Lepisosteus oculatus: one gene and its partners. The protein of the gene in region 4 purifies or fractionates together with the protein of the main gene of each other region. This does not show direct contact. Links are inferred from orthologs where the notes say so. Each region holds a gene or a part of one and is shown on either strand. Other genes may lie near its edges. The genes, in order: ybx1, gtpbp4, kpna3 and mecp2.

Region 1 (7,180 bases), on a different chromosome or scaffold from region 4:
CACACACCTGCTATCAGTGGGGAGGAGTTCAGAGATGGGGATTATTAGGAGGCCATGAAAGGTAAAGGCCAATGGGAAATGTGGAAGTCCACATATATTGTATTGTATAAAGTGGTTATAAAATCTAACAATTCTAGCTGAGGCTCTGTTGCCAATTCTAATTGGTTTTATATGTGCTGGTGAGCAGTGGAGTCTTGGAGCAAATGTGAATAGGGCGTAATGAGAGTGTTGTTTGATAGGGACGGCCTGCGGCTTGCTTCTCACATTGCATTCCCCAGCATCCGATCCTGATGGCTTTAATGCACTTATTGCCAAGCATTCCATTACAAGCCAATAACGATCATGCACCAGCACAGCCAAGCCACCCCGAAACATCATAACAGCCTCCTCTGGAAGGCTGTGGCTTGGTTAGATTAGGCCAAAGGTTTTAGCAGTATTTTACAAGGTAACCACACAACGGGAGGGTGCAGATTATATCAGACATCCAAACACTTCAGACTTGAACATTGTGGCGATGTTCTCGGGAGGCTTTGAGGATTTTTTGCTGCACATTCTAAAGATGGCGGAATGGTACAAACTCCCAGACATGAACACTGTTGCACTAACACCCTGTAGTGGTTGTAATGACCCCAGAAATAACATTTGGACAATAGCTCCTGAAGCCTATGAGCTTGCATTGCCACGTGGTTTTTGTGCCAAATGTTTGGAAGCTGTGATTACCAAGTCCTGACTAAGACCCAAACTTGTGCACGTGCAACATTCACTAATTTCTTTTGCAATCTGTTCGTTTCAGCAAATAAAAAAGTAATTGTGCATTCAAATGTGGAGAAATATATCATGTTTAAATTTGAATCCTCCCGAGACTGCGTTCACTTCTTTTCACTTGGCGATTCAGTGAAACGTGCCAGTTGACCAGGGGTGCCCAAACCTTTGATCACAACTGTGCACGAGTGTTTAAATTGGTGTGCTCGTCTTTGAGTTCTAAAAACCCAGCACTTAACGTGAACAGATGTGCTTCACTGAACCCTATCAACGCCCCCCAGTACCTGATTTCCTCTGCAGGACAGATGGAATTACACTTTCTTCCAAAGAAGGAGGTAAATGCAATAAGTTTTATACAGCAGATTCACACAGGAAAGCTCACTCTAAGTTTCCATATTAGGAGATGTTTTTTCTCTCTACAAACAAAAACAGAAGGTGTGAAACTGAGCTAGACGCTTTGCGGTTGTAATATTAAAGTCAAAAGGTCAAATAATATGCTTGAATTATCCTTTTATACTGTTGCTAAGCACAAAGCATATGAGCTAATACAAATAGTCACTATTTTATATACTTAATAAAAAGGCAAATGCTCAAATTCTTCCTCAATGGTTTGGTTGCTTGAAGTGACCAGAAAGCCTTGATTGTGAATACTAGAAAAACAGAATAAATTGTCTTCGGTCTCGAACAGGATGAATATCCTTCCCCAGTCACAACTCCTAATGAGTCTATTAAGCAACCTAGTGTACATCCTATGATGCGCTGGGAATATACACAGAAGCTACTCTGTCTTGGAAGGCACATGTTGACCGCAAGTTGACTTTCTTCACAGGTTATGGGCTGTTGGTACCAGTAGTCAGGTTTTGTCAATGCATTTTCAGTTCTGTGGTACAGAATGTCATGCAGTGTGGAATAGCTCTCTAGTATAACAGATGTTCTCTGTGCAACAAGTAAGTTAAGATGTCCAAACTCTGAAGATGTGTTCTAAGATAGTGGGCAGGTACTTGAGCAGAGCTTATAAAACTGCATGCATTAACAGTGCGCTGTTAGTATCTCCCTCTGTGTTCTGCAGGAAGAAAATCTACTGATGCCTTCCTGCAGTCGTTTTAAAGTCCCCCGATGCAGATCTTAGAAAGATGAGGAATTCCTTTATCCTACACCCAATCAAACCACTAAGTAAATTAGTTCACAGTGATTTCTGTAGAGTACTGGTTTATGGGCAAGTGCAATTAGTGGTTTTGTGCAGTTCTAGGGTTTTGGAATGATTGGTGAAATGCAGATGGGATTCCTGTAGGAGAGGTGTCTGATGAATTTGTACAGGTCCCCATTACCTGTAAAGCACTTTGAGTAGAGTGTCCAGAAAAGCTTTATATAAGTCCACAGCTCCAGGCTTTCCTGATCTTTGATAGAAGGCATTTGCACATGGTACAGTATGTTACTGCAGCAGTCAGGGAGAAGAGCTTTACTCTAGGGTACAACAGCAGTGTCTTGTCTGGGATGGAAAATCACCACCTTCTGTTTACAAGTCAACAACCACTGCTCCATACTGCTGTCCCAAACCTGTATTTCTGAGAATGTCCTGTTACCTGTTATTTCATAGATCCCAGTGGATAAATCAGTTGAAAAATTAATAATTGAAATGGTATCCTGATATCTCTGGATAACATTCTGAGGGGACAGACCCTGCTCCTAGTTATTCCTCATAAGGACACTGGTCTTAATTTTATCAGTGTCCTTAAAGGCTCCCAGCACAGTGTCCTGATATCATTCTTCTGTGGTCAGAAGAGTTTGTGTGACAGGGTTTGTGATTGAATCAGACGTCAGTGGAGGGTTTTCTGAAGGTCTCCTACAGGGCACCGTAGAGGCCTAGATAACTGTGACAATCCCACAGAATATAATTAACAGTAATTAACTTAACTGCTGGATCGGTTTACTGCATTATGCTAACAGACAAGCAATTTAATATGGGGTTTAGGATTTTCCTGGTGTCCTTCTGACATTTAAAAAAACCCACTCTGGTTTTGTGGAAGTCTTTTTGTGGTGAGGACCAGCTCAAAGCACTTTACAAACAACAAAAATGGAGACATTTAAGGCCTTATAATGCATCAATATATAAGAAAAATGGGGCCTAAATAAAAAGAAAAAACCTATATACAAGTTTAAATTATCTTCATTCAACAAAATGTACTTCAAGATCCTGACTCTTGAGATATGTAATCGTAACTGTTTTTAAAAGTGCTAATGTTCACAATAACGGATTCTCATTACTTTATATAATGTTCTTTTTTTTTAGTTATGAAGAATATCGTATTGTATGCAAAAATAATTATAATATCAATGCTTAGAATTAAAGGCAGCTACGGGATTCATTTTTTGATATACAGTATCTAATCAATGAATCTACTCAACTCATTCAATTTTAATTTTAATTCCAGACAGGGATGAGTCGCAATAAGACTGATTCGGATGGGAGAAGTTTATAATCTAGGGTCTTGCCTTTTAGGGGTTATAATTGCCCATTGCACCAAGACAGTATTGAACGAAGTATGGAAAATGTTTTTACTTGTTTAAAGGCGAAATTTAAAAGAATAGAACTAGGATTAATTTACACTGCGGTACACAGTTAAACAGATTTTCAGATTCTTAATCTAATGTAAACGAATAAACTACGAATAAAACGAATGAACTTGTTTTTGAGGGCTTTAAGGTCTAGGGTACTGATTACAGGCAATCCTGACCTACATCTGTAAACTTCACGCTAATGTTTGCATCAGTAGTTCGAGAGCAGTTTAACCCTCTCCGTGCATGTTGATCAGATGTCTGGTCCGATGTTCCTTGTACTGTCAAACACTGACAATGTTACAGGCGCAGGGCAATGCGTAAATATTCCTATCACGAAAGATAAAGTGGGCGTGATTTATATTAACTGTAACATTTTGCCAATCCCTAGCATCGTGGGCGGCATCCTTGACATTATCTGCCCAACCAGCGCCACTGATTCACAATCTACTCCGGAGAAAAGGGGAGTGTTTGATTGGATTGAGCGCGGCCCCTTCTAAAAACTATGCAGTTGAGTGACACTTCGGTCTTCCAATCAGAGCTAGAAATGCGTACAGCTGGGTTAGATTGACGCGTTGTTGTCCAATCACAACCAAGCACTCGCAGAATACCGAGTAGGCGGGTTTTTATGCCGCTCTGTGGAGTCGCAATCCAATTCACCGCCGCGGAGGTTTTGGTGAAACGGACGGCGCCGCGCACCAATAGGAGCGACGGAAAAGAGCACCGGCCCAAGACGGACAGGGGTTCTGACCAATAGAATCAGAGAATGGGCGGTCGCGCCTCTGACAATATTGTCAGGTATCGGCTCGCTTTCCGTCCAGTTCGATCGGCAACGGGAGCGGAGAAAGGAACGCTGAGAGCCCGAAGGCAGCAGCCCCACCACCGCCGGCCCAGGTTACCATCACGCACCGGGAAAACACGCTAGAGAGCCACCGCCGGCACAAGTGTAACGTAACCCACCGAAACCACCATGAGCAACGAGGCCGAAACACAGCAGCAGCCGCAGCAGCCCGCCGCCGCGGAGAGCCCGTCCAGCCCGGCAGCCGCAGCTACCGCGGGGGATAAGAAGGTCATCGGTGAGCCCCCCGGTCTCTCGTATTTTTTTCTTTTCCCGTGTTGTTACGTGATTTGAACTGGGGACGCGACGCCGAGGTTGAGGGTTGGAGAGGTGACTTTTTTTCTCCGGCGTGCGGTGTGTCGGGCTCCGGGGTTTCTTTGTGTGAGAAAAGTCGGTTGAGCGTTGATGGTTGAGGGGGGGGCGGGGGGGCGAAAAAAAATAATTTGGAAAAAATAACGAGCGGGCGGCCTCGAGCGGGTCCGGGGCAGCAACGGTTCTCGTCCCGTCGCCGTGGTGACGGGAGCGGGCTGCGCTCTCGAGCCCCGGCGCGTGCGGGGAGCCCGGCGGAGCGGAGCCGGTGGGTGGGATCGGGCCGGAAGCGCCGGGGTGGGTTTGTGGATTCCGCTGGTGGGTTTGGGATAGTGATCGGAAAGACACCCCCCCCCCCTTACTCACAAACACACACTACTTGCCCACGCATCCCAATTCCTCCCCTCCTGGGGGTGGGGGTTTCTAGGTGTGGGTTTGGACTGGGCCGGGCCCAGGGGACACATGGCGATCCGGCCGCCTTGCAGGGTCTGTGCGTGTGGGGGAGAAGGGGGGAGCGACGCAGGCGAACTTGGCCTTGCTCTTCACCTCCCCGGGGCAGCCGGGGCGATACTGGCCGCCCGCCTCCCGTAAGTGGGTCAGGTCGCGTTCTCCCGCGGGCCCTTCCGCACGGAGCCCGCCGGGGCCGGCCTGCAGTCCCCGGCCCGCGGGTAACGCGAGTGCCGGGCTGCGGGAGGGCCGGTGTGAAGACTCCCCCTTCCTCACTGCTCCTCCACACACACACACACCCTTTGTTCATTACAGTGCGGTGTAGTAACTTGAGCGTCGTGTACGGGCCGAGGGTGTGCAGCCGCTTCATAAATCGGCAAAGCCGTCTTTCCCGACGAAAATGCCGCTTGACGGCTTACAAAAGAGGCGTCGCGTTCCCCCCCTCCTCGGATTATACTAGCGGCTGTGTGGAAACTTGGCGAGGGGGGAAAAAATCCAAAATGTCCGCCGCGGTGTTTGGATACGAGAGGGATTTCTTTTGTCTGAGGGAGGCGATGTTTTTTTTTTCCTGGCGTGTGGGTGCTGGGGAGGCGGGCGGCGTGACCAGGAGGACCGGACTGCGGCCGATCCCCGTTCCCCGTAGTTTAGGGTGGGGGGGGGGCGATTAATCGGCGGCCCTGCCGTGGAAATCGCCGTCGGTTTGGCGCGGATTGTGGGCGTCCGTCCAGCCACATGGTAGCGCGTCGGGCTGGGAAATATGGAAGTTTCGCGCTGTAACAGGCGGAGACCAGTACAATCGTAATCCCCTGCGCGTCCGTTGTACTGGGAATAATGGAAGTTTGACTGGCGATGGACGGCCGCTTGAATGATTGATTTATCGATACTGTATTTAGTTTCGCGTCCGTGTGGGGAGAGTGCAGGAGACCACGTGTGAAGCATTCTGACACTTCCTTATATCGTTACAGTGAATCATTCTTGTTACAGGAAAGAGCCGAGGTTACGATTGGTTCTTTGTAGCAGCAGACTGTTGAAGCATGGCCGGGCCACGTCGTATACCCCTGTATAGCCAGTAGAAGTTCTTTCGCCCGAAATTATGTTCTGATCCAATCAGCGGGGTTGGTGAATGTATTTTGGACACGAGTTCATCATACTGCTGAAGTAGTTAGTTTTGCAATGGACAGCTAGGCTTTGCATCATAATCTATAAAAAGCTTGTCACCATGTGGTTAAATATAGTGTCCAGATAGTTTTACAAGCCCTACCCCACTCAATAGTCGCAGCACTCCATGCTCCTAGTTCTGAGTTTCTCTGAATTCGGCCAATTAACCAGACAATAGCTGTAGGTCCCGGTTCTGAGCGTTAGGTCCTCATTTTATGTTTCCACTTTTCCTAGTAAACCTTTTCTCCTAGTGCTTACATGGTCAGATTTTAATGAGAGTGATGTTACAGTAAAGTCCAAGGAGTGACTAGAATATAGTTCATAAGTTGTTAAATACGGAAAGCAAATCGGTTCCAATTTTAAGGACTACATTTTTTTTTTAGACAAAACCTCTGCTGTTCATTATTACTGTATATACTTAAAGCAGATTTTTAAGTGACACATGATTTGAATAATGCTTAAAGTTACAGAGGTGTGGAGAGAATTTAAATATTTAACCTGTTTTTTGTCAAAAGAGACTCTAAGAGCCTCTGGGCTGAAGTGTGATATAGAGCTGTAGTTTTGCAGAGATGTGTAAATGACAGGAACGTGACAAGCAAGGGTGTACTGCCTACAGTTAGACTCCTGTGTGTAGAGAGAGAATGATGGTAAAGCATCAGTGCATGGTGAAATTAAGGCTCTACAATTACATTTTACTGTAGAATACGTTAAATACAAAAGAACCCATCAGAGTGAAAGTCTGCTATGAGACATTATAATGTGGTTTTCTTTGTTTTCTGATAATTCTGGTGTCTGGAATTTGTAAGTTAATAATTGCCTGACTGCTCTCTGGGTATATGAAGATGTAAGACTTGTTTGTTTTCCAGCAACAAAGGTGTTGGGAACAGTGAAGTGGTTTAACGTGAGGAACGGCTACGGTTTCATCAACAGGTAATTTAAGCTCTCTCGCCTTGTTTAGGACATGGATGTGACCTGTGGGTCTGATATCGTGCTCAATCCTATTAGCCAGGTTATTTGCTTGTACAGCTGTAGATTTATTAGTCAGTGTCCTGCTCCTGTTTACTTGCTGGGGTTTAGCAAACCATAAGCCTGTTAATTTAGATTGGCTTC
Region 2 (7,401 bases), on a different chromosome or scaffold from region 4:
GCTGACATTTTTTTTTACTTTTTAATACTTATGGCACGCAGGCAAAATATATTGAGTTACATGTCTGTAGACAAACTCTACTTAAGACATTTACCAAACATTTTACTAAGTGTTTAGCTGGGATTTCAGAATATACAGAGATGTAGGGTCTCTGATGTAACTGAAGTGAAGTGAATGTTCCACACAAGCTACTATGACACAGTTCTCAATCACACTTGGAAAACTGTGTTTTGAGAATTCTGTGATGTTAGTAATATAGTGAAATATAATGGTTCAAAGATGTGCAGCACATTGTATACTAAAAACTCTTAAAATATTAAAAGAAAATAGATGTCTGAAGCTTTAAGAATTGAAGCAATAGAACAAGACCATGCATTTCAATTAATTTACTAATTAAGGCAGACGTGGCACTCATGTCTCTAAATGAAAGAAGCAAATGTCTACAATATTCACCTTGTTAATGAAGCTCGACTTCCCAACATTTGGATATCCACAGAGTAAAAGAGTCCTGGTGTTCGGATCAATGGTTGGTAAACGGGAAAGATGCTGACGCACTGAAAGACAAATTACGTTCAGAAACACGCATGAGCACAATATAATTATAAATCTAATTGTGGTGTTCAGGAAAAAAGGATTGCTTGAACCAATTTAAAAGCCCTGAAGATGTAAAACTAATGAATCGTTAAATACAATATGCTCTATTATTTCTAGCAATATTAATATTTCACTTTTAGCACACGACAGCACAACTATGTTTCATACAAAGGCGCCAACAATACTCCCCAGTAGATTTTAGACAGAGCTTTTCTGTCATTAGGTGATTTTGTTATAAACAGTCACAGCTGCTGATGCCTCATCATGCTGCACACAACTTTGCATTTTGATAATACATTTCTTTGTACACAACCTTCGAAACCAGTGTACCTGAGAAGCATTAGATCTGTAACTGAAAACGCAGAAATAATTTTAAAGGTTCATAGAAAGTAAAGTGTGGAAATACCAAAAATAAAAGGCCAGGCCATTTCTTTGGGCAAGTGGAATCAAAACTGGCACATAATGACTCTGTCACTCAATTCTAACTGTGCTGGATAATTTGATGGATAATCTGAAAAGCTTTACCTTGCTCCAAGTATTCCAAGCTTTGTTTCTGTCGCTTCAAGATAGTACACATTCGTCCAAGAGCAGCCCGTTTAAGCTGCTTGCAGCGATAAAGAGAATCCCCATACTTCATAAGACGGACATAGTCTTTGGCAACACTAAGACAAACAACAGAAACTGATATAATTGTTTTCTCGATACATATATGTGAGTTTTTATACATTTCTAAATATCAGTTTATCTTTTAATGTATAAAAATGTATGCTGAATAAAGGTCCCCAAATAAGGAAGACAACATATCATAAAAAAACAAACATTAGAGTCTTAATATCAAAATTCACCTATTGTCCTGATGCACAGATGTTAATAAAAAGAGAAACTGATGTTGGAAGCAAGACAGAAATAAAAGCCAGAAAGATAAACTCATGCTGCAACACTATGTCTTAAAATAATAACTTTTCGGAATGAATGTAATTCTCAAAGAGGAAAATATGCTGTTTAATATTATACAAAAACGAACATCCAGGTTAGCATGTTAGACACACACCTGCAGGATTGTGAAGAAACTAAGATAGAAAATAAGATTTTCTTCATTTTAAATCTATTAATATTTTATGTTTTTCCACAGAAAGTGGAATCATACAGAGGACCCAAGATCTGAACTAAATATCCCACTGCCACAAAAAGTACTATCAACAGCCTTAAGAAGATTCCTAATCAAAGTACATGGTTTCTTACTTGTCAATGAGATTCTTAGCTATGTTAATCTGTCCCAAAGCCAGCTTGTAATGATCTTTGTCGTACAAAACATTCATCAAGTCGGCATAAAAAGGATGGATATCCTAAAGCCAAGAAAGACAACAGTTAAAAGCATTTCAATGCAATTGCAGTCAAGATAATGTGTTATATCATTATGTTAGATTATATGCATAAACGTACTTAAATTTCTCCTTATGTAATCCTTCAATTTAAGGCAAAAAGCAGTTTAAAACTTTAAATCAAGTGAAAACAAAATAAGTCGTACATTCATGTTAGACATGTTTAGCACTTAAAAAAACATAACTAACACCATTAGTTATTGAATGTATAGAAATAAGACTTACATCCAGTTTGGGAAAATCAGTCAGGATCTGGGAGAGTCTGTCATGGTAGTTCTGCTGGGTGAATTTCACTTTTCTCATGTAAAAATGACGAATACGATGGATCTGATAGTGCTTATGGATAACTGTAGGAGTCTTCCTTTGTGTTTTTGACAATGTGATATCTATGAAGTCCTAAGGAAAAGATTTAGTGATTAGCGTTACTCTGCTTGCTCCGATTTTACCCCCCAAAAAAGAGAAAAATGGTCAGACATTGGTCCAGTACAAGGCAAATATCACCCATACATTAGACACCGTGCAACAAAAAAAACACACAAGAATAAGCATTTAATCGTAAAATCAAAATGTTCACAAGGCGATACTCGTCCGCGAACCCCACATTTACGCTTGTCAATCTCAACAATAACTTTATCATCGCCATGTACATAAAAATAACTTGTCAAACCAAGAAAGGTGGTTAAACATAACATTCTGAAGCAGTTATTCGGTATCGATTAATTCGGTATCGATATCGGCTCCTCATCTTGCGCTGTTTAAATACTTTCAGGAGACACGTGTCCTTGCTCACAGGCTGAGACCACTGAGCCCGATCGTGTTAAACAGATTGATTTCTCTTTTTCAGACCGCCTGCTAACCTACAGCACTACCGCTAGACTTATCCAAATCAGAATGATGCTGTATGAAACAGGTCCGTTAACTACCTTTGCGGTGGGAACCACCATAATCTTCTTAAAGTTGTAGAGAGCCATCTTTCCACACCGCGAAGCACACTTCTCCTCCAGAGGATGCCGCGTGAGGCTACCCGGAAGACTCGCCCAGTGATGTCAACAACTCTGCCTGAGCAAGAGGGTGTCCTTCAACGAAAATGCAGGCAACTGTTTCTCCACACTGCCATCTCTAGTCGAGATTTATATTTGCAGCATTAGCAGTCTGTGGGTTTTATCAACAAAATAAAATATCTTTTTCTTAAGGTATTTTTTTAATCTTCAGAGTATGCTCATGAAAATATCAAAAGTAAGGCTGAATACTGTCTATGTGACGGTCCATCTTGACATCTTTGACTGCAAGGCATCCTGACAGACTGTTCAAAAAATAAAATTATTCTTTCAAAGGGATGTGTCTCGTTGGTGAAGGGATTGTTTTACAGATATTTTTATAAACAGCCACAATTAAACTGATGACGTTAAAAGAGACAACAGCATTTCAGCATTTGAATTTAGCTTTTCAGGTTTTCTAAACGTTTACATAGCAAATGTGTCAGTGAGAGATGATTTCACACATTTCTGGAGAACTTTCTTTTGCAGTGTTAAATTCTGTTCTTAAAGATCAATTTCATTTTTGAAAATCAATAAGGCTATTTTTTTCTCTATTAGCTATGTTTCAGTATTGTCTGAGGTACATACTATTTATTTTGACTGGACATGTAGATGTACTAACCAGGAAAGGATGCAATGCAGACTTGCTGACAATGATGCCTGAGAATCTTGTTAAAGGTCTAGGGAGAGGGTATAAAATAGAATCACGGCCCACACAGTAAGAGATCATGGAGGGTAACAAGACCAATTTTATTTGGGAGAGTTTAGACAACAGGAAGCTCCAGGATTCAAGAGCAAGGGAGACATAATGTTCCCATGGCAAACTTCAACATGCCAGCAGCCCCACTGCATGGCAGTTCTGGAAGGGAAGTGAGAAATTACTTCACTTAATTAAGGGAGAGCAGCAGACCAGATTGTGCAGGGCAAAAGTGGAATTGAGCAGACAGGGACTGGCAAATGAGAACGTTGGACATTGAAGAATGCCAGATTGACTCACCTAGCGTTGACACAAATGACCTTCAACCTAACATACTGTAACGCTCAGGGGTTCACATGGACACCCTCGCCGCTGCCGCATCAGGTCGGCCCCCAACCGTCAGGGACTCAAACCCAGGCCTCCGGCATCACTCAATGGGGACCCAGCCTCTTGAGCCAAAGGGAAATCTCCCATCAGCCCGGCGGCTGTGGTCCCTGCTATTCACAGGGAAGGGCAGTGACGTCACTGCAATGGTAAGCCAGCTCTCACAGTCAATGGAGGCTGTATGCGTTACAATACTGTTATGCCTGGTTCTTGGTTAAGTTCCCAGACTTTACCATGCCTGTAAAGTATATGAGACTCTGATTTGATGACTTGGCAACTGATGTAGAATAGAACGGTTGGCCAGTTTGGGCCAGTTTAAGCATATCCAGTGGAAGTGTGATGTTGTGAGGCGTTGTGGGTCACTCCATGACCCTGTTTGTCAGAAACACTGGATTGTTTTGGACAGAATCTCAGCACTCACTGAACAGCCTACCACAGAGCTGTCCAATCTAGGTCATGGGGGTGGGGCAGTGTGTGCTAACTAAAACAATTTGTTCAGTGCTTTCTGCTGCTGTAGATGTGCTTGGGTCTCTCACAATCCATCTTTCTCTCCGTCCTGTTCTGAGTGTCATCTCCGTGAGCTGGATGAACTACAGCTGTGACTCAGGTGCAGAACAGAATATTAAGGGTAAAACTGACCAGACATTTTCACTTTGTCTGAAGATCAGTCAGTAAAGGTGGCCAAATAAAGCCAGCTGCCACCAGGTCATCTTTGGCCTCCAGGGGTTCGACAGTGACTTTGCGGCTTTGCAGGTGAAATCCCTAAACTTCAGCCCAGGCCAGGACTACCCTGAAAAGATTAGTAAATAATTTTGTACTTGCATTTACATTGAGCTTTTATGGAAGATTCCATACCGCTTTACACATAGGAAGGGACCGACTTCATCAGTCACTGAGTTAAGATTACTGTTGAACGGTCATGCCCTTACATTCCACAAAGTGTGAAGATCTGACTTGCCCATTTAAAGGTTGAGCAAACAACTGCGTGTGTGTTACAATTTCTGTAGAAATACATAATATTAAAGGGAAAACAATTTATGAAACAAATCCGCCGTGCTGCGTTTATTGCAAAGAAAAGAACCCTGCCACATTAAAAATGAGCATCCTTGACATAAAGATAGTACACATGTAATAAAATGAATAAATCATAAACAACATCTGTCGCATACATATGTGGGAATTTGGCTGTATGTACCAGTCCAGGGTCTGGTGCAGATGGTCCTGCAAAAGTGAGTATTTTACAATACAATCAGAGAAATTCTGACAATTACAAAATTTTAACACACATTGGAATACCCACACAGTATTTGAATGTTGAGTCAGCTCTCCATCCTCTTTTAAGTGTAAAAAGGTTCATTTATTTTAGCTTGTCAGTGTGGAACATTCCTTTAAGTTCAGTTCCCAGTATGCAAAATTGGCACAGGCCTATTCAAAAAGACTTACATCTCTAACTGCTGCCAAAGGTGCAAGCATTTCTTAAAGATCTAGATTTGGATTTATACTCCCACTTTTTGCTGACATTTTACTTTCATCCCTAAAATTGTGTTTGAGCACAGAAGAATTGATTAAAAAAAGTTCTCTTTTAAAAAATGTATGTACATCATTTATTAATTCAACAAACCTCTGCTTCCTTCACACATTAAATCTTCAATCCATTATACTGCATTGAACTATAATTAAGAGTGTCTTAGTGTTCAGTTTAGGCATCAATCCCTTTCAGTTTATGAAAGTCCTTATCAATTTGACTTCTCTTAAAGTATTTTAAAATTATGAGGCCACATATATTATTATTATTATTATTATTATTATTATTATTATTATTATTATTATTATTATTATTGTTGTTGTTGTGGTTGTTGATGTTGTTTTCAAAACAAAAATACACACCACTATCTCAGGGTTGAGAGTAAGTGCGTCAGAAGACACACCCTAGGTTCAGACAGACCACTGTCTGAAAATCCAGGCTTCACATTAATACATCTGTAGGAGGGAACAGAGACAGGCTGTCTGACTGACATTTGCTCTACAACCTCATCTAAAAAACAGTGCAAAATTATTGCCTTGGTATCTCCCTCCCCCATCTTCAGTGGCCTGACTCAAAACTGATCAGATGATCTAGCTTTTCAGTGTTTACCATCCTAAATGCCTACATGGGAAGCAAAACCCATTTAACCTATTGCAGCCTTGTTTTGACTCACTGTACATGTAAGTGGATTTTATACTTTCACGTGCAGCAAAATGTGTTGCCAAGATTTTGCTTCAGAGTAGCCTGAAGCAGAAGTCTGGATTTCTCCCCAAACCTAAAACACCCCGGGAAATTCTGAAGCCCGTGAGCTGAAGGAGACTCTCTCTCTCACTCTTCAGTCACAGCCCTGGAACACACGCACTGTGGCCAAGTGCTCACAGAACTGGTCTAATTAGGGCGCCACACTCTTTTGTTTCACACAGACAGCCAGCGTTTCACACAGGACAGAACCTCTAAAAACAAACCCGCTAAAACAATTGAATCCAATCCTGCTCACATGGAACCTAAACTGTTCAGTCTAGTTTTTACCAAAATATAATTCCAGCACCAACAGAAATATTACTCACTACGGTAACAATATTCAGACTAGTTCCTCCCCCACATGTACACACACCAGATAGTTAGGGATGATAAACACCTCCCACTGACAACTGAGAATCTTGGCACATTATCTAGCTGCCAATCTAATGGGACCTCAATCCCTTCCAGTCCAGTATTTGACTAAAATAATGTACCACAAGGTCTTTATGTAGTGATGTTCAAACACAGACTCTGCTACACAACATCAGACAGACTGGAAATGGACACTAAGGTAGCTCATGAGCTCAGGTTTGTGCATTAGGTTAGACCTGATGTAGACAGTACTTAAACCTCTGGCAAGGAAGTCATGTGGACAATAATTGAAGAATAATATGGCAGGGTTCTGTGCTTAGTATAAATTATGCATGCTGTGCTCATTTTTTAATTTAGAACGTCATGATTGCAGACAGGAAAGGCCAGAAATATGAGAAGGTTACACTATAATCAATTACATTTACCCACGAAACGGAGGGAGAATATAACCTTAACAGTCTCAACAGCTTACAGCTTGGAGTCTGTGCCTACCGTATGTGTCATAAGGACTTATCAACATGGCACAAGAAAAAGACAAAGTATGCAAGACCACATGTTTCAGAGGTAACTTGTTTCAGGTTTGCAATCTCAGGAGAAAGGTTGCTACCAGGAAGGAGTTTTTGAGTCTATTTGATCTCATCTCTCATTTTGGTCTCTAAGGAGACCAAA
Region 3 (7,276 bases), on a different chromosome or scaffold from region 4:
GCACATACTACCGTACAGCACTTTGAGTTATTTGAAAAGAACTTAATGCATTATTAAAGGCTATATTGTTTCCATATACCATGAAATATCATATCATGAGACAAACAAAGCATGAACTCAAAAACAGCCCACTGTGCGTTCCAGTTAGAAAGTGTTAATAAATGCACTGCACGCAATCCTAGGACTCTTTATCAGGACTGGTACAGTGTATTAGAAATGACATCTCCACAAACTGCACATTCACACCGGCCATGTGATGGAAGTGTTCCTGTAGCAAAACAGAGCTGTGGGACCTGGTTTCTCAGCTCCTAGTTTTAGATACACCTTGTCTTTTCGTTTCTACTGCGGCTCCAGCCATAGTCACCTTCTTCGTACCCGAACTGACCAAACACCTTGCCCGATTAGCAGGTCTTCCATTTCCATCAGATGAGGCATTCAGGTAGCTCTACCGTTATTAAATTAACCTGAAACACATGACTGCGCCAGAGCGCAAACAATCCAAAGGATTCAAATGAGGCAAAATGAGCTCAATTTAAAAAAAAAACAGCTGCATAAAGTCATGAATGCATAGGTGGTCCCTGAAATCCATAAGAGAAAGACTGCTCAGTCAAAAAAAACAATTCTAAATAAAGATGAGATTCTACAACCATTGAAAAGATACACATAGACGGCATGTTAAAGTCAAGCTGTCACAGCTTCAGACTGAACAACTACACAGGTAACTACAGTTGCTACAATAGGCAAGTTCAGAGCCTGATGTGGCAACAAATGACAAACAAGAGCTGGTCAGAAAAGACTGCACAGTGCCATGGTCATCCAACAACCCTTTAAACGACAGATGTGGGTCAGCCTGTAATCATCTTGGTCTAAAGAAACAGCAGTCCAACCTAAAATTAGGGGCATGTCCTAAAATTGAGATGAGGTTGTATGTTTCCCAAGAGGGCTGTTCTTGTGTGTATGCTGTGATGAACAGGACACAGAGCCTACATATCTCAGGAGATCAGAGGTGTCCACGCGAAATAGTTGTGCAAACAATGCCATTATAAAGCAATCGCGCTAGTCTCCCACGAAAAACGCTCAGCATTAGCAAAACCTTGGAGATCTTAAGTGGATTTACCTCATTTTCCAAGTATTGCAACACTTATCAAACCAGGCTAAGAATCGTTAGCGCAGTGAATGAATAATCCCCGTTTGTTCCTTCTCTGCTTGCCGATTTGTAACACCAATAAAGTAAAACGAAACCGCAAAAGCTTCAATGTACGAACTTCAAGGCAGAACAGCTAAACGCAAAACGCACTTTGAAACAACAGGCACCCGCACTAGCACCTTAGACGATTTTTTGAATTTTAAATTTCATTCAGCACGCCAGTGAGACGTCTGCAATCATATCTCCCAGTCCCTTAATTATCAGCACCAACCGCTATGCCTCTTTCTAACGAACTGTGTCCTTACATCTTCTCCCACTGTGCCGCACATATTGCTTAGATCTCCTCCCAAAACAGCGCAGGTAAAAAAAAAAAGTGAAAACGCACCTGAGTTACAGCGACTGATGTATTCATTTACCGTCATATGCATGCCAGGCCCTTAAAAACTAGTTGTGTGCCCTAACCTAATCAAACCACGGACGGAAGCAATCCTGCATACAACACAGCAACAGAGCTACAAAACCCCATGACTTCGGGGCCGGCTTTTACCGCAGTAGCACAATCCCTCACGGGCTGCACACAGGTTGCGTTTCAAATGTTACAGGGCCCATCGTGATCTCAACAATGACAATCCATCACATTCACTCTGCATGTCGCCGGCGACCGGCCGCCTGAGGAGCCGGCTGGGTCAGGCGCCGTCTCTGTCCCTGCAGCCGAGTCAAGGGCTTACGGCCTGCTCGGTTTTCTACATCTGGGCAGGGAAAGGCGTGCTACAGCCGCCCCTTTCAAATGCGGAAAAGTGCGCCGTTTGGCCAGTCCGGCTCTTGGCTACGCTCTCCTTTCTAGTCTCGTTTTTCCCCCCCTCTTTGCTTTTTTTTTTCTCCAAATCAGGGAAGATTTGAGAGGGGAGGGAAAAGGCTAGGACAGAACCCCATTTTTCGTAGACCGTTTTGTCAGGAACACCATTACCAAGAGCAGAGCAAAAAGAAAAAAAAAAAGAGGCTCAACTGAGTGTGATGCTAACTAGATTTTTTTTCCCCCCACAGCAATTAAAAAGGCCCCGAATAAAACCAAAAGAAGAAAAGCACAGGTTAATCGCTTTATTATTATTTTTTTCACTAGGGAAAAGCATAAGACGGTGGAGGAACGATTAAAACGCGGTTTAATGGCACAGAGAAGGCCTTTCCTTTAGGCCGCGCCCGCACTGCATGATGATGGTGGTGGTGGCGGCGGCGGCGGTGGGGGTTGTTCCGGAATAAACGCTCCTCTTACCCCCAACAGCAACAGCAGCAGCAGCAGCAGCATCCAGCAAAAAAAAAAAAACCCACAGCCGGTCGCAAGGCCCGGAGGGCACAGCCGCTCACCGCCCGCGCCCCCACCCCGGTTCAGCCCGGACCGGACCGGCCCGGCCGGGCCCGCCGCGGCGCCGCCGCCACCACCACCACCATGCCGCCATCCCCTGGGCTCCCCCCTTACCTCGACATCGCGTCCCTTGTTTTTAAAGCTCTTGATGCGGTGGTTCTCCAAGCCGGCGTTTTCTGCCATGGCTCTGTGTGTGCTCGGTGCGAGTGCGGTCCGGCGCTCGGAGCTCCAGTGAGAGAGAGAGAGAGGGGGTGAGACAGTCCGCTGTGCAGCGGAGAGGGGGGCGGCCAGACGTAACGGAAGGCGGCGGGGCAGGAGGGCCGGGAAGGAGGAGCCACGCTCGGCAGCTGGAGAAAGCCGGAGAGAGGCCCCGGCGCTGCGAGCGAGCTGTTGGTTGGGGTGCGATTGCACAATGGATGTGCGCATCGACAAATATAAACACAGCGAGGGCCTTCAGCTAGCCCGCGTCTCTAGCCGGCGGATTACATCGGCTGTTGGCTAGATCGCTCCCGAGTTTTCTCCCCCAGCAAACGGGGTTTTGAGGTCGTTATTCCAGCCTACTTGTAGACTTGCGTCAGTGTATTTCACGTTATAAAGAGTGCGCATGCCTTACGTAAGTTAGAAACATGGACAGTTCCGATAAATACACAAGAATACCGTTGTGGTGCATAGATTCTTTACATACATGTTGGTGTTCCCTCTACAGGAAGTTAACAGTCGAGCTGTGTCGTCTTTAACGGAGTTCAATTGCACCGTATATATCAAAGATTAATTGTGTCTTTAAAGCATCACATCTGGTGCGTTGAATCCATGGAAACATGCATATTAATTCAGACAGCACAATACGGAATAGTAAAGCAACTAAGTACACAACATGGGGCGTTAAATTTCACAATTTATAGAGCTAGATTTAAGCAAATATGTCAAATTATGGACGTCTTTTGTTAAATATTAAACTGAATTCAAGTTCAGAATTCCTCAACAGACGGAAACGTTTTAAATGCGCCTACATTTCATACAGAAAAAGCAGATGTTACAAACCTAAAAATACTGTTCCCAGATTATTTTTAGTGTCTTGAGGTGGGAAAATGTGCTTCAGCAGAGTAAAAGATAGCACAAGAAATACACCCTAGTATTTTGGACGAGCATACTGTACCTATCAAAATTGAGATATTCGCTTAAAGGATTATTTTCTGGAGAAGATATGTAATGTTTTCAAATCAACACCCATTTTCCAAAAAAAAAAATCAAACGAATAGCTTTGTCAATCTAAAATCATTTAAAAATGCAATTTCAACTAGAACACGCAACGGACGAACTTCTTTCGGTTCACAATACGTATGATTTTCAGGGTTCTCATACTGTCTGAGCACATGGAGAATTTAAAGGTGTGATGTAAACATTTCAGCCTACACACTATATAACTATACTGAAAGGTATATACTAGTTCTTGATTTGTATAAAAGAAGCGAAATGTGCGATTGTCATTCCAGGATATGCCTGTATTAAAATTATTCCTGCACTAGGATACCGGATCCTACTATCAAACGCGTCTTCTTGTTCGCCTACAATTCCCGTGCACATTATGCTAATGTTGAAACGAGACTTGTTTTTTTTTAAAAATAACTGCTCACACCTAAACCGGCCTGACTATATTATTTGAAACCGGGATACAAGAGATTGCTTGAGCAAATGTTTTCTTACGGCAACACGTGCCCAGAACACGCGCAACTGAGGCGCGTCCCCGATGAAGTGGAGCCCAAGGTCGCGCCCAGCCCGCCCCTCCCTCACGAGGGATGGGTGACAAAAGATACGCGATGTGCGCTCCCTAGAGGCTGGGATGTACACTCTACCAGATAATGGAGAGTTACAGGGAGGCAAAAAACTATCGATTCTATTTCCCCTCCCGCTCCTTTCATCACCTTCCCTCTGCAAGTAACTTCAGTTAGCTAGTGCAAGAAAAAAAAATCTTGGTCATCTGTGCATATTTAATGTAGGAAATATAAAATGCATTAGAAAACAAGAGTTGAGATGTCTTTAATCTTCATTTAATTGCAGCTTGTGGGCAGGGCCACCTGGAATATTGTGATAATCTTCATGCATACCAGAGAGGATAAAACCTAAGCAAACCCTGTAGATCTTGAGAAATATGCTCAGAAACCCGAGAGCTTTCATATTTAAAGGCCAGTAAACCAACTTGCTATTTATATTGGCAACCAGCGAAATACTTGCATACTGAAGTGAGATCTAAAACCAAACACCAATGATCTTCAAAACTGAGAAACTCCTTAGTCCAGGTGCAAATTTTTTATTTTAGTGTAGACTTACAACAAAACCCATTTGGATTTTTAATACTCAACACATCAAGTTTCATTAGTGCAAACAAAACATTGTTTTGAAACATTTAAAACGGATGTCAGCAACGAAAAAGGAAAAAATTGTCTCCATAATGGGGGAAAAAGAACGGTTTAAAATGTGCTCATTATTGAAAAAGACCTCCCTGAATTTCGGCAGCCAAAACTAATGAGACCTATTTTAGCGAAGTTGTCGGCGTCCAGGATTCATTTTGGATTTTATTTTTTCCGTCACAAAACAAGGTTTGAGAGGGGGAGAAAAAAAGAGATATTGGGGGGTTTATGTGAAAGGAAAATCAACAGTGAAAAGTTCTATAGCGTTTTACAACATACATTTTATATTCATCAGACGGCTTTATGCAGTGAGCTAATCGGTGAAACGACAACTCATTATCAGTATACTGCATTTGTGAACCATCTCCCAATATGTGGAACTAGAAATGTTTCATTAATGATGTCAAATTCAAGTTAAACACCTCAAGAAGTGAGGCAATGTGGACATGTAGAATGTAGATTACAACAAAAAGCAAAATAATTTCAACACCAATAGACAGTACTGTATCACAGGCTTCATAACTATGGCTTCAACAGTTACTAGTGACACGATACCATCTTATACACCTGAATTCAGTAACCAATGTGCAGAAATTATTCCCAACATGGTGCAAGAGAGAAAGTTTCATTCCTACATCAAAGGGGCTCAGTCAAGACTGCTGACAATATAAACCTAGTGTTTTTCACTGCTACTACTAGAAATCTGCACTGCTTTTTACACGGGACTTGAAGAGCAGGGCCGACACTATCAGTGCAGTTTTCTTTCTTTTAAATATAGCAACAAAGCCTGGTCCACACTGAGACGTTGGAGTACTTTAACACCTAGGGTCTTCCAGTTGATCTCCAGACTGCGCACTGGGAAGAACAAGGCTGGAACATAAAGCTTTCACAGGAGAACTCCATACAAACCGGACAATGATACAAGTCACAGAGCTTCAGAGAAACACACAGACAGAGAGCTTTGGAAGAGTGCAGGTGCGTTCACGAGAGGCAGTGTTTTTTTTTTTTTTAGAAGATCTGCTGCTCGAACAGGATCTTCTCAAACCCTTGGGGTGGCGTGTGGTAGAAGTCGCTGAACTGGCAATCCAGTATGGCACTGTCATCCACTGGAAACACACAGGAGAAAAGGTCATGAAGACAGAGGACTAAGGTGACTCTCTTCTGTCATCCAGGCTGAAACTTAAGCAGCTCCGCTAAAGACAACACCCAGAAGCCACTGGCTAAAACTTAATCATAGAGAAGAACTGGGTGCAGCAAATGGCAAGGAAACTGCACCTTCCCATTAGACCCAGGACCTGTCAGAAATAATATTACAGTTACAGAAGCACTGTTAATTGGAGACCACGCTTCATCTTACAGTGATACTAGCTTAAATTGTGATTACAGTTCTAAACATGCTGAAGTGACGAACAAACACCGAAAGTAACAACTCTTACAAATGACAATGTTCCCCCCCCTACAGCCATTATCTCAGAATGCGCTGAGTCTAGTCAGTACTGGGATGGGAGACTTTTAAGGAAAATAGCATGGCTGCAGGCCAGTAGGGGGCACTCTTCCCCATTGTGAATCCAATGCTTGGAAGCCAGGGCACTGTGGTGTATCAGGCGCCGGCCTTAGGAGGAGATGTTACACTCAGGTCCTGATTACTCTGCCATTCCTGTGTGAGAGTAGGAGTGTTTCCCTAGTGTCCTGGCTGGGCCCACCTACCATCATCCCTCCATTTCCTAACTGCTTCTTAAAATTCTGGGTCGGAGTCGGAGTCTGCTCCAGCAAGTTACAGGGAGCAAGGCGGCATCCACCCTGGACAGGACGTTAACCAGGCCATAGGAGGGCAAACAGATACAAAGACAGACACACTCACATCTAAGGCCAATTTTCCCAGAAGCCAAGCAAGGATAAAATAATCCATAACAAATGGCAGTATGAACTTAGTTCATAAACTACAGTTCTGAAGTTCTCCATTAGCCAAAGATTTCTTTACTATAGTGCGTACACATTATTTCCAAGCTAATTATTTCAGCAGACAACTTGTGTTGGCCTATATCTCCCCAGTTAATGCAAAGCTCAATTGATTATGCACAGCTCCTTTCTGTAATGTAATGAGTGAGTACCTGTTTGTCAAGGGTGGGTTTGATACTGTCAGGTCTCTAGTGTAATCAACAGTCAATGCAGGTAAACAAAGAACACACCAAAAGCAGAAATACCTTACACTGTTTAAAACATTACCTTGTGTTCTGTGGTAGTCACAACTCACAAAAGTCACAAACGAATTTGCCTGGAGCCCGATGGACTTGTTCGTGAAGGGGAAATGCCTAAGCTTGGGTTTGACCAAATCTTAACCACTAATCCAAGGGGACAGGG
Region 4 (7,224 bases):
TGGGGAATTTGTAACGAATACGCGTTGCCTTCATTTGCAGTCACAGGAAACCATGAGCTATTTCAGTATTAATGGGAGCTCACATGGTGGTCGTCTAGAATGATTAAAGTTTCAGCGTTTTCATTTTGAATCTAAAGTAAATCGTTAGAGTAAATGCGTCACACGGTACAGGCAAGGAAATCAGACCCCCATTGCTCAGTAACCAGATCCACCTCAGGCCCCTGCAGTATCAGGAACTTGTGCTCATCCCACACCACGCTTCCCCACTTGCTTTGAGCACATTACAAAAACCGAAGGACCGGACCACGTGCGCATGCTTTTCAAACTACAAACAGGAGGCACTTCTTTACACGAAGAGTGGTGGAGGTCTGGTGCAAGCTACCCAGCCATGATGCGGAAGCCACAATTTTCTTTTTCTAGCAGGGAACAGCGGGGTGAGATGCTGGGATCGGTTAGCTACTAAACTACTGAGCTGGCTTGACGAGCCCAGTGTTTCCTCTCGTTTGTAAAAAAAAAACTATTTTCTGCTCTGCTACAGAACCAGGACCTTTTATTCGCCCAGTACAAGATAGACAAGGAATTTCTCTGGGCGCAGGCGTCGACATCAGTTCCAATAAGATAAAAGAGTAACAAAAAAGCAATCCACAGGTAAAGACAGATTTCAGTGATGTAGACAATTTAAAAGTCTATGCAGTTGATTAATACAGTGTACAGTGAATGCTGTGTATATTTACAGAAAGTATCAGTAGCGTGTGTCGTTAAATGAAAGAGTCATGGCCGGGGGGAGACACCATGCAGCTGTCGGTTAGTCCTGGTTTTTAGGGGTCCCCAGTGGTCTCTGCGGAGAGGGAACACGCTGGAAGAGAGAGGGGCCGGGGTGTGAGGGGTCGTCCTGGACAAGTACACAGCTCCTCGGCAGCTCGCCGTGATCGTCTAGTGCTCAGCACTCTGTGTTGTGGCCTCAACGACCCCGGGTCGAATCCGGGCCACGGCAGGTGTGAACCTGGCACAGCAGAGGAGTTCTCTTCGGGGCCGAGCGGCGGCTCTGTGGCTGAGGATCTGTGGCTGGAAGGTTGCCGGTTCAAATCCCGCGGCTGGCACAGGAATCCTACTCCATTGGGCCCCTGAGCCAGGCCCTTCACCCCAACTGCTCCAGGGGTGCCGTATAAATGGCTGACCCTGCGCTCTGACCCCCAGCTTCTCTCCCTTGTCTGTGTGTCTCATGGAGAGCAAGCTGGGGTCTGTGAAAAGACAAATTCCTAATGCAAGAAATTGCATACGACCAATAAAGTGATCTTATCTTATCTTAACTGCTGTGCAACAGGACTCTGAGCTCTCTCCCTGTCGCAAGAACACGAGGATCACCGGAGAGGTGGAGAGTGACAGGAGAAACAGCCAAGCAGGAACTCTGACCCCTCTAGAGAAGACAGTCCACCTCCAACTGGCTACAGAGGGCCCAACCACACAGCCTGTCTCCCTCGCGGAGCCCAGCTTTGGTCCTGCAGAGCCACAGTCCGACTGGCTGCCCTTCAATCAGCAGCTTGGCAGAGGACCGGTGTGTGTCACCATCACCCTACCAAGCGTAGAGGGTCAGTTAGTTCAGGAATGGGCAGATTCCTTGGTCCAGACAAAGTGGAGTATTTTTAAAGGACACCCAGAAAACCGGCTGGACTGTGGCTCTCTGTCCCGGCCACAGAACAGGCAGATGAATTCAGGAGAGGAAACAGGTTTCAGCACTTCTCACATCTGAACTGTTGGCAGTTCTAAGGGCGTTAGCGTCAGAGCAGGCACTTTTATTCAAAATGACTCATTAACAACCATTCTTGTCTAGGCACAGTTACGGCAGTTACAGTTAAACTGCTACAGGAATATAAAAAAACAACACAAACGAAACATCACAGACGACATCGCTCAGGGTTGCAGAAACTGCTGCTTTAAGGGTGACCATGCTGGACACTTGCTGGACAGGCCCAGGGCTGGCTGTGCTTGCTCTCGTTGGGACAGCCGTTCTGCTGTGATTGGACCCGACTGGACCCGCGCTCAGCGTTGAAGCGTGAGACAGACCTCCCAGAAGCTGCAGAAGGAAACGAGGCCTCCGGCGCCGGAAAAGGGAGGGACCGTTGTGCACGAGGACAGGGTCTGGAATTTCACATCCCAAGACGGCAGGTGAGGCCCGGATCAGTCCGCTCTCAGGTTCAGCTGCCCGTGTGAACAGAACAAAGCCCACTGCGTCTTTCAGAGATCTGAGCGATGTCGCATCAGTGTGTCTGCAGTGGTGTCCAGTCCTGGTCCAGGAGGGTCGGTCAGTGTGTCTGCAGTGATGTCCAGTCCTGGTCCTGCAGGGTCGGTCAGTGTGTCTGTAGGTGTTCCAGGTCTCCTTAAAGCAGCAGCACCAGCAGACTGACCAGCCCTCCGGGGGAAGGGGAGGACCGGTCTGGTCTGGTCTGGTCCAGTCCGGTCCGACTGAATCAAACGTCGCCCCTCCTGCCTGCAGTGTAACAGCATGTCTCATCGCTCTCCTGCCTTGAATTCCTTAATTCCCAGTCCACCTGCGTCTCCTGCAGGAGAGCCTCAGTCTTGGAGCGGCTCGGTTTAGGGGTCTCTGGGGTCTGCCACAGGTCCCCAAAATTCCCCTCCCCCCCGCTCTCTGCCTCTGGACCATTAAGGGGGAACCATCCATACTGTGGAAAAACGAGTGATTAGACTCGACCCCCCAAAACACAGAAGGCAGAAAAGCACCAGTGTGTGCTAGCCCCATGGGAACAGCATAAAATACCGAGAGCCCTCCCTTGAAATACCCAAAGTATATCATGAGGAACCCTGTCTAACTTTAGAGTGACACTTTAGGATAACCTTGACCAATCATGGCCTCCTTATAACCCCCCTCTCTGGACTGGCTTCATCACTCTGCTCTCCTCCCCACTGAGAGCTGGTGTGTGGGGGGAGGACTGGAGCATCATCCAGGTGGGGCTGCACACTGGTGGGGGTGGAGGGGATCCCCATTACCTGTACAGCGCTTTGAGTGGAGTGTCCAGAAAAGCGCTATAGAAGTGTAAGGAATTGTTATTAATCATTATGGATTTCACGGCGCCGGTGGCATACAGTACCCTGCTCGGACACCTCAGGTGCATTTTCATTCGATTTTATTGGAATGAACCAGCGAGCAGCGGTGTTTGGGCTCAGAAGGATTCTCTGCATTCGTCTGCATCACAGTCGACGCAGATTTGCGGTGTTTTCTGTACGCTGACACTGAAGGCACAAGCGGCTGTAGTCCCCTCGGAAAACGACCCACGACTGATCTACAGGCTCCTGCCCCACACCTCGGGGCAGTTTCCCGGAGAGCCTGTGTCTCGCTGTCGAGCCGCTTTCGCAGGGAGACGTGGAAGCCAGCAGGTGCTTTTCCCCTTCCATCAAACACTATCTGGGAAAATAATGCGCTAAACTACTCTTTTATTTATTTTAAAGTGTTTTTGACCCATACCGTCGTACAAGTCAACAAGAAAGTAACCTGTTTTATTTTATTTATTTTACTATAGCTACTTTACTTGCGTTCAAATCTACGTATTCTATTGCACAAGACGAGCTTCATCGCCAGCACAGCGGCCAGACTACCGCTGGACCGTGGTGGAAGACGTGCACAGGCGCGGAACAACTACACCTGCGCGCCGCAAGAGTTTCAGGAAACACCCAGCCTGCAAGAGAGCACAGACCCAAAGTGAAACTGCTGCGGCTGACCCGTTTTCAGAGCTGCGACAGTTCATGCTGCTGCGTTAGAAACAGTTTTCGCGGAAACGCGGCAGGATTTCTTCTTTTTGCGTCGTCTCGTCGGGACGCCCCTCTTTGGCTGCTGAAGGGCAGGGCAGCGCTGTCCCGTCCCCCCCCACCCTGAATTAAAAATGCCAGTTGAGCTAACGAACGATGTAATTAAATAAAAACCTGGTCTTTTCCTCGCCACCTCTGACCCTCATTCATTCCGAAAGCCGCGGCGACCGGACACACGAGGCGGCTGAACCCTCTCTCTCGCGCGCGCGCTGCAGGAGCTCGCGGCGACTCCCTCGCGTCCTCCGCGTGCGGGCCGCCTGGGATGGGCGTTCACTTCTGGTTTTTTTTTTTTTAAACGCTAACGGCCACTCCGCCGACCTGCCGCCGGTAGTTTCGAGAGAGAAAAAACACACACCTCGTTTTAATTTTCCTTTTAATCGTCCCACGCCCCCCGCCGCCGCGACAATGAGCCTTGCCTCGGGTACCGGTCCAATACGCCTCGTTCACCTCGAGGTGGGAGTGAAAGGGTAAGTTTATCCGTCGTATTTTTTATTTTTTTCCTGGGCGCTTTGGTATACTTTTCGAAAGGAGGAATTGGCCGGAGTTTTCCCACGTTCGTATTTTCAGCGAATAAAAAATCCCCCCCCCAAAAAAAAAAGTTATTTTCGAGGTTTGAAACCTGCCAGGTATCACTGCGGTAGGCGAAACACTCAACTCTTTTAACGCGGAGACTCAACTGTTCACGGGCGAGCTTCAGTTTATCGCTGTAAATTCCTTTAAAATCGGGGGGAAAACCCCCACAAAGACATACAATTCTGAATCTCCGTTTCGCACTTAAAGATGCTCGGTAATCACTTTTGTACAGCAATACGTTTTTTTCCGCTTTCTTAGCTTTGCTAGCTATTCAGTTTCAGTTTGGCTGTAAGCAGTCCGTACCGCCTGGGTCGTTTAGGAGATGAATGCGCTCCGGTGTCGGGATACACATTTTTATTGGCAAAAATGCGTCGCCGTTCACAATAACGTTGTCATTGTTCTGTACATGTTCAGTATAAGTCTAATGAACGGATGTCTTCAAAACCGTTTATCTGCGTTACTCAGAAAGCATTTAACACCATCTCCCTAAGCTGAAACAGTTTCACATGATTTCAAAAAGGGAGTATCCTGTGAATAATTCAACTCCTTTACCTCCTATGTATAAACAGAAGAATGTGAATACATGTTAGGGTTTCCTGTTGAGGATTTCTTTAAAACTTAGTTTGCGCCATTTCTCAAGTTTTACAATTAGCTTTTAGATTCACCGCTGAAATATGGAGCGACATTGTTCACTCTAGGTGTATAAAGTTTTCCCGCGGTTGTAATTTTAAATCGTACAAGGAAACAAAATAATAAACCTGCTACCTTTTCCGATAGACCATGAGTACTCATTCAAAAACTCGGGAATAATGAACCAACGACTGAGCTGAGTAAAAGCCAATCAGTTCGGGTTTTAGTGGACTTTCAAACGAAGAAGCTGCGCTCCAGACACCGCTGATGTTTGGACGGATCCGTTTCTTCGACCAATCGGAGCTGACTGGCATTTTTTTTAACCTATCAGCGCCTAGATAAGGCAATTGAGTGATTTTCTGGCAAGCCAATGACATTCACCGTAGATGAGTGTCGTTTCTCGTAGCCAATCAACGGCAGGACTTGGTCGTTGGGGGCGGGCTACTCCGGGGATCCTTTTCAGCGAGAGATTTTTGACTTCGCAGTTGCCATAGAGTTCTCGCGGGAACTCCGGGCCCCAGCCTGTAGTTTCCTATGGGCTAGATGGTGTAATCTCGCGAGAGCTACACTCACCGATGGGAGGGTGATGTGGGGAGGGGGGGGCTTCCAAAAGATGTGTAGTGAATTTTTTTATTTATTTATTTAAATATAAAAAATGGCCGCCGCAGAGAGCGGAGAGGAGAGACTGTAAGTGTGAATTAAAAATATTTCTCCCTGTGTCTTTTTAGATAAACGAGAAAGCAGTGGAGTCGTACAATGTGCACTATACAATTCTCTGTTTTAAAGAATTGCATATCTTCTTTGCTCACGGAAGGCGGGGTAAATACCCCATTAAAGGGGAGTATTTTCACCCGCTTTTTCATCTCAGTGGGGTGAGAAAATCAGTATTTGCGCGATTAGTACAGGGAAGAGGTGTGTGTGTTTATATGTGGTTATTTTTTATGTGTCTGTGAACTCAGTCCTGCATTGTTACGAATATTATTTTGCTTTATTGGTGTAGATTTCTACTTAATGCATTATTTTCCTAACTGCATCCCCACCCCCTTTGTAAGTAGAATTTAAAACACAGCTTTCTGTCTGTTTGGCTCTGAAAAGAAGTACACGGGAAGGACCGTGTTTTGATTTTCCTTTCCGTGCTGGTAACACTTTGAATAAAGGGTATGGGTGAGCTACTGGGCAGCTTTTCTCTGCGTATCAGAAAGTCCTGTGTGATTCGGCACCCTCACACAATGCGTATAAATAATGAACTTTTTGGATTTGAAAATGACACGCGATTAAATATGAGTCAAGATTGGTATTTTTTAACATGCAGCTGGGTGGTGTTTGTGTCGATGTTGACCGTTTTATAGGCAAGAAAAATGAAAGTGTATTTTGATTCCTGAACGTGTGTTCGTTTATGTGTATGGAGTGTGTTTTTTTCCTCCCTTGAAAAAGACCAGACTGGTGCACACGAGTCGATTATTACGTACAGCACAGATTAGATATATTTTAAACATTTAGACGAATCTATTGTTACAGTTGTCGGCACTGAAAGTTTTGTTTTAACAAGCTGTGTTTCTTAGAATTGGAAAAAGACACCTCTAGCTTCTCAAATACACTGAACAGGCTTGTTGCGTCATTTGTTATGCTAGGGGAAAAAACACTGGAGGTTAACATCTTTCTGCTATTAGCATTTCCGTTTCAAATCCGTGCTGTGTGCGATACAAATCCACGCGTATTTTTGTGTTTTAACCAGAAAAATGAAACGGCAGTTTCTGTCCTTGGAGGGGCTTAGATGGGCTTGGAACGATCCATCTGTCTGAACTGTGCAGTGTGTGATTTAACATTTTGCCACGACCAAAAAAAAAAAACACACAAATGCCCTTGTTTTTAAACTGAGAAATTTCAACTCGAAACGTCTAGGGAATAATTTTATGCGACATATCGAAGTGTGGTTTTGCTGATTATTGCTAAGAAACGCGGATGTGAGAGGTTTTATTGTCAGGATGCGGGATAAATACACCGGTGTACTTAGCATTTCAGCTCGAGTGGCGCCGCACACAGCCGTCTTCAAAGTGCGTCATTGTGTAGAAAGACGGTCATATTTTTGGGAAATGTTTTGTAAGGGGTGGGGGAAAAAGACGTGTTTGTGAAATATTATTTTTTCATTTCATATCTAAGAATTGTTCTTTTTTTAATTCACAGCCCTGCTCCTAATAT

What was found.
Region 1: the proteins of mecp2 (region 4) and ybx1 purify together in Homo sapiens (affinity purification with western blotting; 3 studies listed by BioGRID, with this or other methods). This does not show direct contact. The link is inferred for Lepisosteus oculatus from reciprocal best matches to the Homo sapiens genes MECP2 and YBX1.
Region 2: the proteins of mecp2 (region 4) and gtpbp4 purify together in Homo sapiens (affinity purification with mass spectrometry; 3 studies listed by BioGRID and IntAct, counting the BioPlex papers as one, with this or other methods). This does not show direct contact. The link is inferred for Lepisosteus oculatus from reciprocal best matches to the Homo sapiens genes MECP2 and GTPBP4.
Region 3: the proteins of mecp2 (region 4) and kpna3 purify together in Homo sapiens (affinity purification with mass spectrometry; 3 studies listed by BioGRID and IntAct, counting the BioPlex papers as one, with this or other methods). This does not show direct contact. The link is inferred for Lepisosteus oculatus from reciprocal best matches to the Homo sapiens genes MECP2 and KPNA3.

Annotation. Positions count from the first base shown.
Region 1 is NC_090720.1:9,798,818-9,805,997, reverse strand, and holds the start of ybx1 (Y-box-binding protein 1), read left to right. Parts: upstream 1-4,164; 5' UTR 4,165-4,288; coding exon 4,289-4,394; intron 4,395-6,936; coding exon 6,937-7,000; intron 7,001-7,180. UniProt on the Homo sapiens protein: DNA- and RNA-binding protein involved in various processes, such as translational repression, RNA stabilization, mRNA splicing, DNA repair and transcription regulation.
Region 2 is NC_090701.1:13,527,674-13,535,074, reverse strand, and holds the start of gtpbp4 (GTP-binding protein 4), read right to left. Parts: upstream 3,010-7,401; 5' UTR 2,948-3,009; coding exon 2,900-2,947; intron 2,373-2,899; coding exon 2,202-2,372; intron 1,941-2,201; coding exon 1,837-1,940; intron 1,257-1,836; coding exon 1,120-1,256; intron 555-1,119; coding exon 454-554; intron 1-453. UniProt on the Homo sapiens protein: Involved in the biogenesis of the 60S ribosomal subunit. Acts as a TP53 repressor, preventing TP53 stabilization and cell cycle arrest.
Region 3 is NC_090710.1:26,351,034-26,358,309, forward strand, and holds the start of kpna3 (importin subunit alpha-4), read right to left. Parts: upstream 3,023-7,276; 5' UTR 2,934-3,022; coding exon 2,622-2,933; intron 1-2,621. Other genes in the region: spryd7a (SPRY domain-containing protein 7), read right to left, coding at 5,924-6,021. UniProt on the Homo sapiens protein: Functions in nuclear protein import as an adapter protein for nuclear receptor KPNB1. Binds specifically and directly to substrates containing either a simple or bipartite NLS motif.
Region 4 is NC_090697.1:75,512,615-75,519,838, reverse strand, and holds the start of mecp2 (methyl-CpG-binding protein 2), read left to right. Parts: upstream 1-4,205; 5' UTR 4,206-4,227; coding exon 4,228-4,289; intron 4,290-5,680; coding exon of another isoform or gene 5,681-5,712; intron 5,713-7,224. UniProt on the Homo sapiens protein: Chromosomal protein that binds to methylated DNA. It can bind specifically to a single methyl-CpG pair. It is not influenced by sequences flanking the methyl-CpGs.